Arabidopsis thaliana: one gene and its partners. The protein of the gene in region 1 interacts with the protein of each later gene in a pairwise test. Each region holds a gene or a part of one and is shown in the gene's direction. Other genes may lie near its edges.

Evidence for each region.
Region 2: the proteins of AT1G44960 (region 1) and AT5G49760 interact in a protein complementation assay, tested with the Arabidopsis thaliana proteins (one large-scale study listed by BioGRID).
Region 3: the proteins of AT1G44960 (region 1) and TH8 interact in a protein complementation assay, tested with the Arabidopsis thaliana proteins (one large-scale study listed by BioGRID).

Annotation. Positions count from the first base shown.
Region 1 is NC_003070.9:16,997,469-17,002,327, forward strand, and holds AT1G44960 (SNARE associated Golgi protein family), read left to right. Parts: upstream 1-1,977; 5' UTR 1,978-2,107; coding exon 2,108-2,412; intron 2,413-3,498; coding exon 3,499-3,979; 3' UTR 3,980-4,266; downstream 4,267-4,859. Other genes in the region: AT1G44970 (Peroxidase superfamily protein), read left to right, coding at 4,769-4,859.
Region 2 is NC_003076.8:20,214,507-20,221,949, forward strand, and holds AT5G49760 (Leucine-rich repeat protein kinase family protein), read left to right. Parts: upstream 1-1,825; 5' UTR 1,826-2,172; coding exon 2,173-2,260; intron 2,261-2,339; coding exon 2,340-2,460; intron 2,461-2,535; coding exon 2,536-2,607; intron 2,608-2,691; coding exon 2,692-2,766; intron 2,767-2,859; coding exon 2,860-2,931; intron 2,932-3,017; coding exon 3,018-3,182; intron 3,183-3,276; coding exon 3,277-3,351; intron 3,352-3,446; coding exon 3,447-3,518; intron 3,519-3,597; coding exon 3,598-3,669; intron 3,670-3,756; coding exon 3,757-3,825; intron 3,826-3,913; coding exon 3,914-3,988; intron 3,989-4,073; coding exon 4,074-4,145; intron 4,146-4,241; coding exon 4,242-4,376; intron 4,377-4,452; coding exon 4,453-4,928; intron 4,929-5,018; coding exon 5,019-5,174; intron 5,175-5,243; coding exon 5,244-5,380; intron 5,381-5,469; coding exon 5,470-5,689; intron 5,690-5,762; coding exon 5,763-5,998; intron 5,999-6,072; coding exon 6,073-6,546; 3' UTR 6,547-6,876; and 1 more. UniProt on the Arabidopsis thaliana protein: Leucine-rich repeat receptor protein kinase that acts as sensor of extracellular hydrogen peroxide. Required for intracellular calcium influx in response to extracellular hydrogen peroxide.
Region 3 is NC_003070.9:26,319,529-26,323,631, forward strand, and holds TH8 (thioredoxin H-type 8), read left to right. Parts: upstream 1-1,869; 5' UTR 1,870-2,011; coding exon 2,012-2,194; intron 2,195-2,887; coding exon 2,888-3,010; intron 3,011-3,125; coding exon 3,126-3,266; 3' UTR 3,267-3,474; downstream 3,475-4,103. Other genes in the region: NRT1.7 (nitrate transporter 1.7), read left to right, coding at 1-569; AT1G69890 (actin cross-linking protein (DUF569)), read right to left, coding at 3,898-4,103. UniProt on the Arabidopsis thaliana protein: Probable thiol-disulfide oxidoreductase that may be involved in the redox regulation of a number of cytosolic enzymes.

The DNA of each region.
Region 1 (4,859 bases):
TATGATTGTGTATCATATTTAAACTAGATTTTAATCCGCGGTATATCGCGGGACGATTTATTTTTTAAAAGTAAGATATATTGAAACTTGCAAATTTTATTCTTATAAAATATTTATATTTTACAGTTTATAATTGTTACCACAATTTTTAGCTTAAAGTTTTATATTTTATAGTTTAATTTTATATATACTAACATTATACATACCACATAACATTTTTGGTTTTATATAATCTTTTCTAAATTAGGATGATTTGATATGTTTAATATTAATGGTCTTAAAAAATAATAAATTAAAGATTTAACCCGTATTGAAACGGTGATTTAATTATATTTTACTTTTTTTATTAATGTTGATTCAAAAACCCGTCCCTCCAAATCCATCTTGCCAAAAAGCCATTTATTTTATTAATATTAATTTTATTTATGATATGACTCTAAATTATAATCTAAACATTTTAGCTAATAACATAGAAGTGCACCATATTTATTTAATAGGGGAATGTACCATATGACCCGAATGCACTTTTACCCAAATCCACCAAAAAAGTCTTGCAAAAATACTATAGAGATAAGAAACGATAGTCGGTTTTGATAGGTATAAGATTAGCAAATATATTAGTTAGCTTAAATTAGTTAAAGAATACAAATTAAAAAGATATATTACACTTTATTCGAATATAGTATAAAAACTTATATAACACAGAGATTTGATAATTTTTTAATTGTTGAATACTTTTTTGTGCTAATTTTTATGTGATTAAGATTTAGTTGATTTCGTATATAAAATATTAAATTGTTTTACGAACTTATTTGTTTATAATTTGGTAACAGATAGATATTTGAATATTCAGTATATTTTGCTTAAGTTTAGGAAATCTTTGATGACCCGTCTTTAAATCAAATAAGCCCTATAATTAAGAGATGAACTAGGATTTAACCCGCGGTTTACCGCGGGCAATCGGTTTATTTGGTTCTTATACTAAATATTTGAATAAATTTGATATCCTAAACTTATAAATATAAATTTTTTAATCAGACATAACTAAATAATAATTGAGATTTTTTTTTGGTTGTTATTTAGTGATAAGAAGAATGTGTTAAAATGTGTTTAATTTTTCTTTTGTTATTTACTTATTTTTGTTGAACGGATTAGATTGAAGTGAATTAAAATTATTGAACGGTTTAGATTGAATCGGATCATATCAAGTTTAGGAGATTGTTAAGACCAAATTACCCTTAATGATTTTGAATAGCAAAGAACAAAATCCAAAATTGAAATCAAAATTGAGGCCAAATTAGACAAAATTTCAATTTGTACTTCCCTTTTAATAATAAGAGGATATTGTCGTTAAAAGATTTTGGTAATTAATGACGTCATTAAAGGATTTTGTTTTTGATTAAATTTTTCTAATGGCATTGTCATGTAATTAACTACAAAAATTAAGGTTAAATTTAAAATGTACTTCCCAAATAATATAGTAGGATACTTGTAATTTGTATCATTTATATGATATTTATATTTATATTTATATTTTATAATTGTCATTAAGTAACGATATACCACATAAGAAGTTTGTTTTGTACAATCTTATATTAATTAGACAGATGTTATATGTCTAACACTAGTGATATTAATAAATAATAAAATAAGAATTTCATCTGTATTAAAGTAGTAGGTTAATGATGTTTTATTTACTTATTAATATTGTTTCAAATCCGTTCCGCCATATAACTCCGTCTCGGAATATAACTCATCGCATATTATTTTAATTTTCCTAATATTATAAACTTTTATTGATTTTAAATACATCAATCATAATATTAATAATAATTTAAATGAAAAATTATAGAAAATAAATCGTGATTGTCAAGTTTTCACTTTTGATAATTTTTTCTTGTAATTAGTCAATTAGTGTTATATTGTGGAGAGTTGAATAGTCTCATTTTGCAATTTTAGAAGATCAAGGGTATATTTCCAAAACATTGCAGTTTTGAGGATTCAACTTGCAATTTACCCTTTTCAAAAATCACTTTCGACAATTACCAAAAACCAGTTCCCCCATTTCATTTCACGCTTTCTTCTCTTCTCATCTCAGAGCTCCGTGATGAAGAAATGGTTAGCAATCGCAGCGACGGTGGCGATAATTGCAATAATCGTTAGACAAGGCACGACACAATACGGATGGAACAAAGAGGCGGCGTTGGAAAAGCTAAAGGAATGGTCAGATCGGCTGGGGATTTGGGCGATTCCAACGTATGTAGCGGTTCACACAATAACCTTAGCTCTTTGTCTCCCTCACGCCGTCTTCTTTGAAGCTGGTGCTTCTATGCTCTTTGGTTTCCTTCCTGCTCTTCTCTGTGTTTTCTCTGCTAAAGTTCTCGCCGCTTCTTTCTCCTTCTGGATCGGCAGGTCTGCTTCTCAATTGCACTGTTATGTGATTCAAATTGATCTGTTGGATCGTTAGTTTGTGTCGCTAATGTACGAATTTGATCGAAATGATTTGGATTTAGAACAATGATTCTCACATGGCTTATCTTGGCTTCGTAGAAAGTATATGATTCATTAGTAATACACTCTGGTTTAGTTTATGTTATCGTGTTTTGTGAATGCTTAAGGTTTTACTTGGAGATGGTTTAGATTTTTCTTTAGTGCACCATTGTTGAAACCTTTTGCAGAACGTTTATTGAAATCCATTAAATTGTAAGCATGAATGATAGGAAGGGAATGTTTGTGTGAAGAAATGGTGTCATTGTTGGTTATTCAGCGGTAAGATAACACCGTTGTTCACCAAAAAGGCGGAGAAGATGCATGATATTTTCTTGCGAGATTTAGATGGATGTCTTCAGATTCTATAATGGTGTTTGGATAAGAGTGGTTGTTGTCTTGTGTATGTGACGGAGATGTAAAGAACCGTTAGATGCTTGTCATTTGCTTGTTAATATATGCTAGGGAATGATTTGCAATATTCACATTTATGCTGGATTTTTACATGGCTTCATAGAAACTATATGCTTCATTAGTAACACTCTGATTTAGTTTAAGTTATCGATTTCTGAGATTTTACTTGGAGATGTAGAATAAACTCTTTTGTTGGTTTTGATTGTCCTGCTATCGCTGAAACCTCCGTATACAGAAGTTTTCACGAAAATCCATTCTACTCTAAGCATTATAGGAAGTGGATCTTTGTGTAAAGAAATGATGTCATTTTGGCTGTTCAGAGGAAAACTAACACCGTTATTCGCCAAAAAGGCGGAGAAGATGCATGTCTTCCTATTCTATAATGGTGTGTGGATGAGATTGGTTGTTTTCTTGTGTATGTGATGGATATGTATGGACTAATTGTTAAATGCATGCTGTGATTCTAATTGCCAATTAATATATGTAGGAGAATGCAACTAGGATGTTGATTAACCTTAGCAATGTGATATGCAGTTTTATTTATTTATCTATCTATTGGGAGCACTTGCATTCTCTCATACTTTTTTGAATTTTCAGGTTTGTTTTTAAGAGTTCCACCAGAGCTACAGGGTGGGCGCATAGCAACAAGTACTTCAATATTCTCTCAAGAGGAGTTGAGCGCGATGGTTGGAAGTTTGTTCTTCTTGCAAGGTTCTCGCCCATTCCTTCCTATGTCATAAACTACGCTTTGGCAGCTACTGAAGTCCGGTTTGTAGCTGATTTTCTGTTCCCCACGGTTATTGGCTGCCTCCCGATGATCCTGCAGAACGCATCAGTCGGTAGCCTCGCTGGTATGGCTGTGGCTTCAGTAGCTGGAAAACAGAAAAGTCAGGTCTGGGGTTATGTTTTCCCAGTACTTGGGATACTGTCAAGTGTTCTGATTTCATTGAGGATCAAAAAGTACTCAGCTGGAATTACAGAGGCATCATCAGATACCTCTGCTAACAACTCTAGTTTAGCTTCATCTGAAACTGCGAATCCCGCTTATGGAACCGATGGATCCAAGAAAAGTGAGTGATTATACAAACCATGATGGTGGTTTTTGATCGCCGGTATTACACTTTGTTTGGTTTGCAGCTATCAGATTCTCAACATCATGGCTTATTTTGGACGAGTTAGGCAGTATCTTAATAGTAACAAAGCATTAGTTTTTGTACTTCTTAAGTTAAAAGCTTAGAACAAAACAACAGTGTTATTTTCTATACCAGACACAAAAACTGTGTCGTTGTAATAACACTTACCATAACATTTTCTTTCAGTGTATGTTTAAAGCCGTTTATATGGTTGAAGCAATGTGACTAAAATTTTTGTAGCATTGAAACAAGCTATATTTGCATTGCTATGGTCTTGTTTTGTGACTAAAAGACTTGGATGCAGAATGGATATAAGTTAAATGTCTGATTTTGTAAATAACTTATGAAGAGAAAATCTTTATTCGGTAAGAGTTGTTTTCTCAATGTAGCAGTTCACTCATCATTTTCAAACTTCAACTCTCAGAGAACACAAAGAGGTTAGACAGTGCAGATGCTTATGGTTGAGAAGCTTTACCTAACAATGGTACAAGGCGGTTTTGTTGGGATCACATGTGAAGTTAGGCACATGGATTCGTTCTTGGAGTTGGTACAAGGACTTCTAAAAGACAACAATGAGGTATAATAAGGACAAGTTGACTATGTCTCTCTCTTTTATCTTAACATTCTAAATTAGGATTTGGTAAACTGAGAGCAGTTAGCTTCTTGAATCTCTAAAGTATAAAAACCCTCACCGTTTTACTACTATCTCATCTTAAAACTCCCAAGTAACAAAAATGGCTATCTCAAAGCTTATTCCTACTCTTGTGCTCTTTGTTTTGTTCTCTTTTGATGTTAGTGTTGCTCATCCAGGTCTAGGATTTGGAT
Region 2 (7,443 bases), on another chromosome or scaffold:
TACGAAAGCCCATAAATTGTGAAGTAAAAAGGCCCAATAGGCCCATAAAATTGGGAGAAGAGACGATCATCGGACAAACCGAGAAAGTGAAACAACAAAGAAGAAACCTGACTCTTCAGAAACTATTCAGGCGAGAGAGAGAGAGAGAAACAATTTTGGACAAGAACAGAAACGATGTACGTTTTCTGTGATCTCAATATTAGATATAGTATTCCAGTTAATCGGAAACAAAGAAGCAACAATTTGCAAATCACGGAGGTTGAACCACTGGAGGAGTTGGATTCAGTCTGGAAGGAAATCCAAGTTAACCAACAACACTTTTAGATAATCGGAACACTATATTCAATGACTATTTTGATTCCAGAGACTGTTTTGCAACCCAAACAGATCCTGATCTCAAGAATAGCTACCAGAGTAGCTATGAAGGCAGCCGTGTATGATGTATCAAGTTCTTCACATCTTCAGGTTCAAAGCTAGTAAACCATTTGAGAATCCATCCCTGGCAACATTCTTTCCTTTCTAAGACATTGAATTTGATGAGCTTTATACATCTTAGGTAATGTTACTGTTGCACCAGAACTTTGTGATTCCGGCAATACCATAATTTAGGAGTTGTAATTAATCTTCCTTGAGATATTATGCTTGTAAAACACATGTTTAATAAGTTATTCAAGACTTTTCCACAAGTCTTGTTGAACGTTTTTGAAGTTGTTGAGAGATATCATAGAAAATTCCAAAAATAATGAATCGCTAGATCAATCTATATCCAAACTGATTATTAAGACCCAGTCAATACACAAATTGCTATTCTAGCAAATGTAAGTGGTGAGGTGCACCTTAGGCTTCAAATGGCCACGGCGGACTGACAAAACCATTTGCGGGATTGGATCTCTTGTTGTTTACCATTCATAAACTGTAGTCTGTGGACCGAAAAAAAAAAAAATCGCCGTAGACAAACTAGCTACTGATTTTACATACTGTAGAAATAAATTTGGTATGGAGCTGACAACATGGTTTAGTCCGCTCCGCCCGTAACATCCATTCAAAGCCTTAACATATAACGTAGTTAACGCGTAGAGTATTTGAGTGTATATATGTATCCCCTAAACACACGTAGTTGCACGAGTGTAGCTTGTGGACACTAACAGTTTCAGTCCACTATCAAGTTGATCGACAAAACATTATGTTGACATACATCAATAGCTTGATCCTACCACTACAACATTGCTATGATGTTTCTCCACTTCTTGTTGTTGTTGTTGTCCTTGCTACTTGTACTCTCTTAGTCTCCCCTAGCTTGGTAATAAAGTTCATCAATAGCCAAATTTAAAGGTTTGGTCCTTGTAAGCTTGACACAACACAAATTAGTTACACATCTTCTTCTCATAGCTCACATTTATTTATATATGTTTTGCATACCCACTCGATTATTAAATAATTAGTTTTGAAGTTCTAGTCAATATTTCATCAAATCATCATCATCATCATCATCACTGTTGTTGTAATTAGTATTAGTATATCAAGTTGGAAAATGGCTTGTCCTCATTTTTCCAACGAGGCAACGACCATGACTTTATTCAATCTTGGTTGTTAAAAAAAACATATCACTGCATAGTTGATGACCACAACTATATTCCACAAGTCTCTCTTTCTGAGATCTAACGATTTGGGCAAACAAAATCATATTTTATTCTTTGTTTTTGAAGTTTATAGATATTTTTTTTTGTAATCAATAATGAGTGTATTTAATACAGTAGATAAATAAGGGTCCTACTTTAGTTTCGCATCACGACAACTCATATGTATACTTTAATGTATTGTTTCATAAATTGTTCCTTCCCATTACTCAATTGACATTTCCATTTAACAACTCTTCCCAATTGTGAAACCTTTATATCCCATTATCAGCTGTTTTAAGTTGACCAAGTTTTTTCTTATGGTCCTCTTCCTATTTTCTTCTTTTGATATACTTTTTTTTTTAACTCTATTTGTTCAAAGTCTTCGTCTTCTTTTTGTTAACATTATTGTTTACATGTTTTTGAAAGAGAGATTATAATTTTTATTAAGAGATTCGTCAAACCTTTGTGTAGAGCACATGCTTTTTTCTTAGATTATTTTGAGATAGGATCAGAAAACAGAGGAAGTGATAAGAGGTTCTTTTTGGGTTTGAAGATGAGTTCAAGAACTGGAGCCTCTTTGCTCCTGATCTTGTTTTTCTTCCAAATTTGTTCTGTTTCGGCACTCACGAATGGTTTAGACGGTGAGTGTGTGTGGATATATACATATACAACCATATAGATGATGAACAGAGTTTTTCCTAATCTTGAATATTGGTGCAGCTTCTGCTTTAAATGCTCTGAAGAGTGAATGGACCACTCCTCCTGATGGTTGGGAAGGCTCTGATCCTTGTGGAACCAATTGGGTTGGAATTACATGTCAAAATGACCGCGTCGTTTCAATGTAAGGCTCTGTAAATTGTTGCTGCTTCTTCCAATAATGCTCTGCAGACTTTTAATGTTGTGTTGCTTATTGTAGATCACTAGGTAACCTTGACTTGGAAGGAAAGCTTCCTGCCGATATATCGTTCTTGTCCGAGTTGCGGATCTTGTATGTCTTTCTTTTTCTTTCTATTTTTCCTTTCACATAAAAATGGTTTTTGGTTGTTTTCATCTTATTATCCAATCTTTGTAGGGATTTGTCATACAATCCTAAATTGTCCGGACCGCTTCCACCAAACATCGGTAACCTTGGGAAGTTAAGGAACTTGTAAGGAAACACACTATCATTAAATCTCTAGTACACAACTTATGTATCACTTTGTCTTATCTCTTATTTTATCTAACTCTTTTTACTCTCCAGGATCCTTGTGGGATGTAGTTTCAGTGGTCAAATCCCTGAGTCCATTGGAACTCTAAAAGAACTTATATATCTGTAAGATTCTGTGGATTCATGTTATTATAAACAGTCAATTGCATTCTCTAAAACCATTAGTATTAATTTTTGTTTCCTCAATACAGCTCCCTAAATTTAAATAAATTTAGTGGAACAATTCCGCCTTCAATTGGCCTGTTATCAAAACTATATTGGTTTGATATAGCTGACAATCAGATTGAAGGAGAGCTTCCAGTTTCTAATGGGACTTCTGCACCTGGACTTGACATGCTTCTTCAAACTAAGCATTTGTATATATAATCCCAAATCTTTCACTTCCGTTTATTATAATCACTCCTTCTAATATAGTAATTGATCTGACTCTCCTTTGCTTTTTTCTTGTAGTCATTTTGGAAAAAACAAGCTTTCAGGCAATATCCCAAAAGAACTTTTCAGCTCAAACATGAGTTTAATACATGTGTAAGCTTCATATTACATTATATAGCTGAGAGATTTCATAAGTTGTGAGTAAGTAACTAACAAAGTGACTGCATTGTTCGTTGTTTTATCGATAGCCTCTTCGATGGAAACCAATTCACGGGCGAAATTCCAGAGACCCTCAGTCTCGTTAAAACGTTGACGGTGTTGTAAGTAGTAATATATATAGTTCAAATTTTTTATTTATCCTAACGTCTATAATTCTTATGTGTTTTTTCTTGGTTCTAGACGCCTTGATAGGAACAAACTCATTGGAGATATTCCTTCATATCTTAACAATCTCACAAATCTTAACGAACTGTAAGTGAGCAACTAAAGATTTGTTCTTTTGTTTGTTGAAAATAAATGAAAATGAGGTACAAGAATTTGTAGTTGAATACATTTCAGGTACTTGGCCAACAACAGATTTACTGGTACTCTTCCAAATTTAACCAGCTTGACCAGTCTCTACACATTGTAAGTTTTTTACATTTATCATCACTACCAATCTCAAACCTTCATTCTTTACCAATCTAATGCCATGATGTGATTGTAAATGTAACAGGGATGTGAGCAATAACACTTTGGATTTCTCACCCATTCCATCATGGATCTCTTCATTACCCTCCCTATCAACATTGTATGAACATCTCTGTCTCTGTCTTGTTCTCCATTTATCTCCCATGTGTATACTTTCTAAGAACAAAGGGTTTTCTTCTTCGCAGAAGGATGGAAGGGATCCAACTTAATGGTCCAATACCAATCTCATTTTTCAGCCCTCCTCAGTTGCAGACTGTGTGAGTAAAAAAAAAAAAAAAAATGAAGCTGGAAATGAACTCAAGAATTATGAACTTTGTACTAAATTGGGATTCTTTTTTTTTTGGACTTTGCAGTATCTTAAAGCGAAATAGTATAGTGGAAAGCTTAGACTTTGGTACAGACGTTAGCAGCCAGTTGGAGTTTGTGGATTTACAATACAATGAAATAACTGATTATAAACCATCAGCTAATAAAGTCCTCCAAGTAATGTATGTATCCTTGTCACTAATCAAACATGACTTCTATTTGTCTCAATCAACTGCTTAAGTGTTTATATATCTACAGATTGGCAAATAATCCAGTGTGTCTAGAGGCGGGAAACGGGCCGAGTTACTGTTCAGCAATCCAACACAATACCTCATTTTCTACACTCCCAACAAACTGTTCTCCATGCGAACCGGGCATGGAAGCGAGTCCCACGTGCCGCTGTGCGTATCCATTCATGGGAACACTCTACTTCCGGTCTCCTTCTTTCTCAGGGTTGTTCAACTCCACCAACTTCTCAATTCTACAGAAGGCAATCGCGGATTTCTTTAAGAAGTTCAATTATCCTGTAGACTCCGTTGGTGTTCGGAACATAAGAGAGAATCCAACTGATCATCAGCTTCTAATAGATCTATTGGTCTTTCCATTGGGAAGAGAGAGTTTTAATCAGACAGGAATGTCACTTGTTGGTTTTGCATTTAGCAACCAGACTTATAAGCCTCCTCCGATATTTGGCCCTTATATTTTCAAAGCTGATTTGTACAAACAGTTCTCTGGTATGATGAACCCTTGTCACACACACAATCAAACTAGAACTAAAGGTTGTTATTGATAACTCATTTGCTCTGCCTTTCTTTTTGTCACAGATGTAGAAGTTTCATCAAAGTCATCAAACAAAAGCATTCTCATTGGAGCAGTAGTTGGTGTTGTTGTTCTTCTACTATTGTTAACAATAGCTGGGATTTACGCTCTTAGGCAGAAGAAGAGAGCTGAAAGAGCAACTGGTCAAAATAATCCTTTTGGTAAGACAACAATATTTACTACTCCCTTGACTAAAATAGCATGAACAAATTTTCTTTGGCATGTTGCAGCTAAATGGGATACAAGTAAGAGTAGTATTGATGCTCCGCAGCTAATGGGAGCAAAAGCGTTTACTTTTGAGGAGCTGAAGAAATGCACTGACAACTTTTCAGAGGCAAATGATGTTGGCGGTGGAGGTTACGGCAAGGTTTGTGTCTTAACAAATGCCTTCAAATGAATGTAACAACTAATGGCCTTAGTTGAAATTCATGATCCCAAATTTTGATGGTTAAATAGGTTTATAGAGGGATTCTTCCTAATGGGCAACTCATAGCAATCAAAAGGGCTCAACAAGGATCTTTGCAAGGAGGGTTGGAGTTCAAAACTGAGATTGAGCTTCTCTCAAGGGTCCATCATAAGAATGTTGTCAGACTCTTGGGCTTCTGCTTTGACCGGAATGAACAAATGCTCGTATACGAGTACATTTCAAATGGGTCACTTAAAGACAGTCTGTCCGGTAAGATCAAACTTCTATCTTCCTCATGAGGATTTCAGATAGTTCTTGGATGCTGAATATGTTAGTAATGCAGGGAAGAGTGGGATTCGATTGGATTGGACAAGAAGACTTAAAATAGCACTTGGTTCAGGCAAGGGCTTGGCTTATCTTCATGAACTTGCTGATCCTCCAATTATACATAGAGACATCAAATCAAATAACATATTACTTGATGAAAATCTAACCGCAAAGGTTGCCGACTTCGGTCTCTCCAAACTTGTGGGAGACCCTGAGAAAACTCATGTCACAACACAAGTCAAAGGAACCATGGTGAGTAGAAAATTTATCCTCCTTTCTCTTTTTTTCTCAAATACATTTTAAACTTACAATATCTTTGTAATCAGGGCTACTTGGATCCAGAGTACTACATGACGAATCAATTAACGGAGAAGAGCGATGTGTATGGGTTTGGTGTGGTTTTACTCGAGCTATTAACCGGTAGAAGTCCGATAGAGAGAGGCAAATATGTGGTGAGAGAGGTGAAGACAAAGATGAATAAATCTCGGAGTTTGTATGACCTGCAGGAGTTGTTGGACACAACGATCATAGCAAGCAGTGGGAATCTAAAAGGGTTCGAGAAGTATGTAGACTTGGCTTTGAGATGTGTGGAGGAGGAAGGAGTTAATAGGCCATCAATGGGTGAGGTTGTGAAAGAGATTGAGAACATAATGCAGCTTGCGGGATTAAATCCTAACTCAGATTCAGCAACGAGTTCAAGAACGTATGAGGACGCAATCAAAGGATCTGGTGATCCTTATGGCAGTGAATCGTTTCAGTACAGTGGGAATTTTCCAGCTTCAAAGCTTGAGCCCCAATGATTGATTATGTTTCTTTTTGTTATTTTGTTATTTCGTAAGTGACTTCATACTTGAAATGCCTTGTGAATGTGGAGTAGCATGATTCTGTTTGATATGTGGTCGCTGATTATAAAGCAGATGAATGGAGAGCCAAACGCAGAATCAAAAACCACCAGATCTTTGGCAATGTCGACACCAGTTTCAAACATAAGAAAAGTAATCAAGCTCAATGTATGATGAATAATTGAATATATTAATTCTTGTTGAGAAGTTTGTGTGGTTTCAAAGATTTAATCCACACATCACACACACTTTTAATTTACTCCAAACCTTTCACATTTATGCATGAGATTATATTACAAATTTATATTACAAATAATTTGTAGTACGTAAGTAAAATTAGTATTAACTAATAAGAAAAAAAAGTAATAAAGTTATTGGGTTTGCAACCTAACACATCAACGATCCCATCGAACAACAACAGTTACATGACCCAGGGTGAATTTATGGTTGTCGTCTCATCTGAGAGCACTCTCTGATCTAGTGTCCTTGTTGTCCACACCTCAAACACGCCCCCAAAATGTATGACATGATTTAACAAAAAATAAAAAGAAACATGATTTAAGACATGTGGTGTGTGGCAACTCTGCCATATATTTCATGGTGAGGTAGCGAACCGGCACCAAGTTTTTCTCGATATGTTTCCTCCATTTACCATTCTTTACGGTAGACTACGGTAGACTCATAACTTTTTTTATACCGGAGTCATATCGTATTAGTTTCTTAAGAGGATTAAAGCACACATATGTTTTTGTGTCTTATTTACTACAAAAAGTCTTTTTACTAAAACACTAACAAAACAAAAATAACATACAAAAAAAATAAGAAAAGTGGTGGGATGTGGCCAAATAGCATTAG
Region 3 (4,103 bases), 9.3 Mb from region 1:
GAATCACCGGCCATAAATCCGGAATCACACTCCTCCAAAGGATAGGAACAGGGATCGTTTTCGCGATCTTTTCTATGATCGTTGCGGGCATTGTGGAGCGTATGAGACGCATACGCTCCATCAATGCCGGAGATCCAACGGGAATGACTCCAATGTCGGTGTTTTGGCTTTCGCCGCAGCTAATTCTCATGGGACTATGTGAAGCATTCAATATCATCGGACAAATTGAGTTCTTCAACAGTCAGTTTCCAGAGCACATGAGAAGTATCGCTAACTCTCTCTTCTCTTTATCGTTCGCCGGTTCGAGCTACCTTAGTAGTTTCCTTGTGACTGTCGTTCATAAATTCTCCGGTGGGCATGATCGTCCGGATTGGCTAAACAAGAATCTCAACGCGGGAAAATTGGATTACTTCTATTATCTGATTGCGGTTTTGGGTGTGGTTAATCTGGTTTACTTTTGGTATTGTGCTCGGGGATACCGGTACAAGGTCGGTTTACCGATTGAAGACTTTGAGGAGGACAAGTCCTCCGATGATGTTGAGATGACTTCGAAGAAATCGATGAAATGATTTAATAGACTATCCTTAGGGACAACAAGAAGATTGTCGATGTTGTTTGAATAATTACTATGACAATGTATGTATCATAATATGTAAGAACTAGAATATTTAATAAAATTTTACCTTTCATTATGTAGAAGTGTTAGATATAGTTCACAGTTTTGTCTTATTTTATAACTTTGTCATCATACTCTCTGCCTGGAATCAGAAAACCATCTCTAACAAGTATATTTAAAATCATAAAAGTAATCTAGTTAGATGGATTGCATTTGGAACTATATCATATACACTATGTTATGACTTGATAGAAATATAAACAGTATAGTTTTAATTGATCATTTCTATGGAGGATCACGTTATTAGGCATAGTTTCATCCTTTATCGATTACGGACGGTAAATGAGTACAACCCAACTAATATGTTGTAAAGAAAAGCTACTACTGCTATTACTGTTAATATTAATATTAGACTTCTTGGGTACATAAAAAAAAAAAAAATATATATATATATATATATCATATTAGACTTCTAGAACACCAAGTCCAAAACATATTTGGCATGAAGCAAAAATATCTACTGCTTTATTTTGTGTCTACCTCTTTGCCACATGCTGTATATTCCATCATTCATTTAACCTACAATTGAATTCCGTTTTAACGTTTATTCACTCAATTAATATATTGGGGTTTGACAAAAATAAATAACTAGTATATAGGTTTGTATGCTTTTTTACTGTTAGCTAATAAATAGAAAATCCAAAAGAAGCTTTCATACAAAATCAACTAAATTAAAATGAAAAGTTATAAGGGAATCATATATTGTGAAAGATTTGGAATCCTTTTTTCACGGCTGTAAAAGGGTCAAACACTTCTGCTGCCACCATTGTTGTCTCTCTTGCGAGTCTAAAAAGTAACTCACACTAACGAAAAAAAAAAAGATAGAAGAGAGATAGCTGTGGATATCACGTTGAACTTAAAATTTAGGTTGCATAATCAGTGGATGGATAAATAAATAGAAATAAATTATATCCTAAACTTAAAACAAACAATATAATAAAACGTTTTATACAATTCCAGATTTATTCAATATATTGGATATGACTCATGCGATAGATATAGCGTAAGACAGCTATTTAGAATTCCAATTATAACTTTATAGTTTTCACGAACTGATTCTAGACAACTTGATTTTTAATTTGGACTTTAAGATTACTAAAGTAGGTTTACATGCAACTTTCCGCTTACTTCATATGATAGTTTTGCGCTACAACTTAGAGCCAATAGAAAATGTAGTGTTAAAATTGGTTACGAATTACGGCTACTTGGTCCACCAGAGAATATTTGACGTTATATATAAAAGCCAACTCTTCCGCTCTCCTTGTGCTCAAACTAAGAGCTTCTACTCAAAACCATTTGCTTCTTTCTGCTTAGAGAGAGAGAGAGACACACTCAATGGGTGCTAACGTTTCTACTCCAGACCAGAGATTTCAGGTAACCCACTTCCGTTCAACGAAGCCATGGACACCTCGACCTGAGATTTATCCTTTCAAAGTCAACAGTCCTTGTATTGTGGAGATCAAGAACATGAATCAGTGGAAATCTAGGCTCAACGCTCTTAAAGACACCAACAAGCTGGTAATATATTGACTAATGCGATCTATAATCTAAGTTAAGCCATTTTTGCTTTAGATTCTATTTTTAAAATTTTAGAAAAGTATTCGAACTAGGGTTCTTATAACCAGATTCGAGACATTTATAACATAACAATAATGCATTAACTTATATGAACTTCCAACTCAATCTAAATGGTAAATAAGTAGTTTGGTCCATATTCATCATATTCCAGATCTCAGTTTAAAGATGAGGTGAGATTTTGAACACAACTCACAAGATAATGACTCTTCTGGCTCATCTAAAAAAAAACTCGCTCTAAAGTCGAATCATATCCCTTTTGGATCATTCTATCGAGTCAAAGTTAGGCTATTATAGTTGGCTGCAAATGGTTACATATTTCAGTGAAACAAAAATCCTCTCAAATTTTACAGTTTGGGATTCAAAAAAAGAAGAGTGAAATAAATTATGCATCCCATTCAACGTTAGTTGGATGAGCAAATCAGAGAAAAATGAGATAAACCAGTTGAAAATTATCACTCGCAAGTTATTCAACCAATTACTCTTTTTATCTTATTATTTTGAGGGACAACCATATTACTCTAGGTTTCTTCTTATTTTCGAGTTGAAACTCCTAGCACAATGCAACTAACCTTGCTCTTAGGCTTAATTTGAAAATATCATAATGAACATTCACTTTTCATGTTTTTTATATAGCTGGTGATCGAGTTCACAGCTAAATGGTGTGGACCATGTAAAACCCTTGAACCAAAGCTCGAAGAGTTGGCTGCTAAATACACCGATGTTGAGTTCGTGAAGATTGATGTCGATGTCTTAATGGTAATAAATAATCATTCTCCTTTTCTTCATCTTTTTTCTCAAAGTCTAAAGAAAAGGTTTCAACAAAATTTGTGTTTGCTTTTGAGTTATAAAATAGTGTTTGGTTGATATACAGAGCGTGTGGATGGAGTTCAACCTTAGCACTTTACCTGCGATTGTATTCATGAAAAGAGGCCGAGAAGTAGACATGGTTGTGGGTGTGAAGGTTGATGAGTTAGAGAGGAAACTCAATAAATACACACAATCCTTCTTCTGAACGTTGAATTCCTAACACGCCAAACAAAACTCCTCATCACCTTACGCCAAGAATATATAGTTTACTACTATGTATAGATAAAATGTTTGAACGACGATTCAACAAAATAAAACTTGTTTGTGTTGTAAAGGAATTGGATGTTGGATTTGCTATGTACGTGTCTCATGTAATATAAAATATATGATCAGCGATTTGTATCGTTTTTTCTATCTTTCATATGATTTTTTGAAATAAGTCAATAGCTCTTTAGTAGAAGAACAATTTAGTAACACATTTTATCAAAGTGGGAGAGTTGGTGAAGACTTGCGCAATGATTGGGTTACACTTTAATATTTAAAAAAAAAAAAAAAACTTTTATAGTACAAACAATTTTTTATGGCGAATTCACATAAAAAATGGGAGGACGAAACTTAAATGCTTCGTTTACAAAATAAGCTTATGTACAATAAAATGAAAGATTAAATCAAATCCACAATAATAGTCTATCTGAACTTTCTATGATTAATTCCACACTCGTATCTAATGGAGGCAACTAGGCAAGGACCAAACTCTCAATCTTGAGCCTAATACTTCAACTACTAGTCTACTTATATAATACATTCGAAATAAAGGGGAACCACACAGCTTGCCGTTAAGTACTTGAGGGTACTAGAATGACATGCATTGTTCCACTATTAGGTGGAAGTTGCAAACGAAGAGGAAACAGCTTGCCGTTTGAAGGATGGCGTGTACAGACCACAACATCATCCATACTAGTCTCTTCTTGCAACGCCTGCGTCAACTGTTCCACGCTATTTCCTTTGAAAGTCAACGCATATCCAACGGCTGATTCTTCCT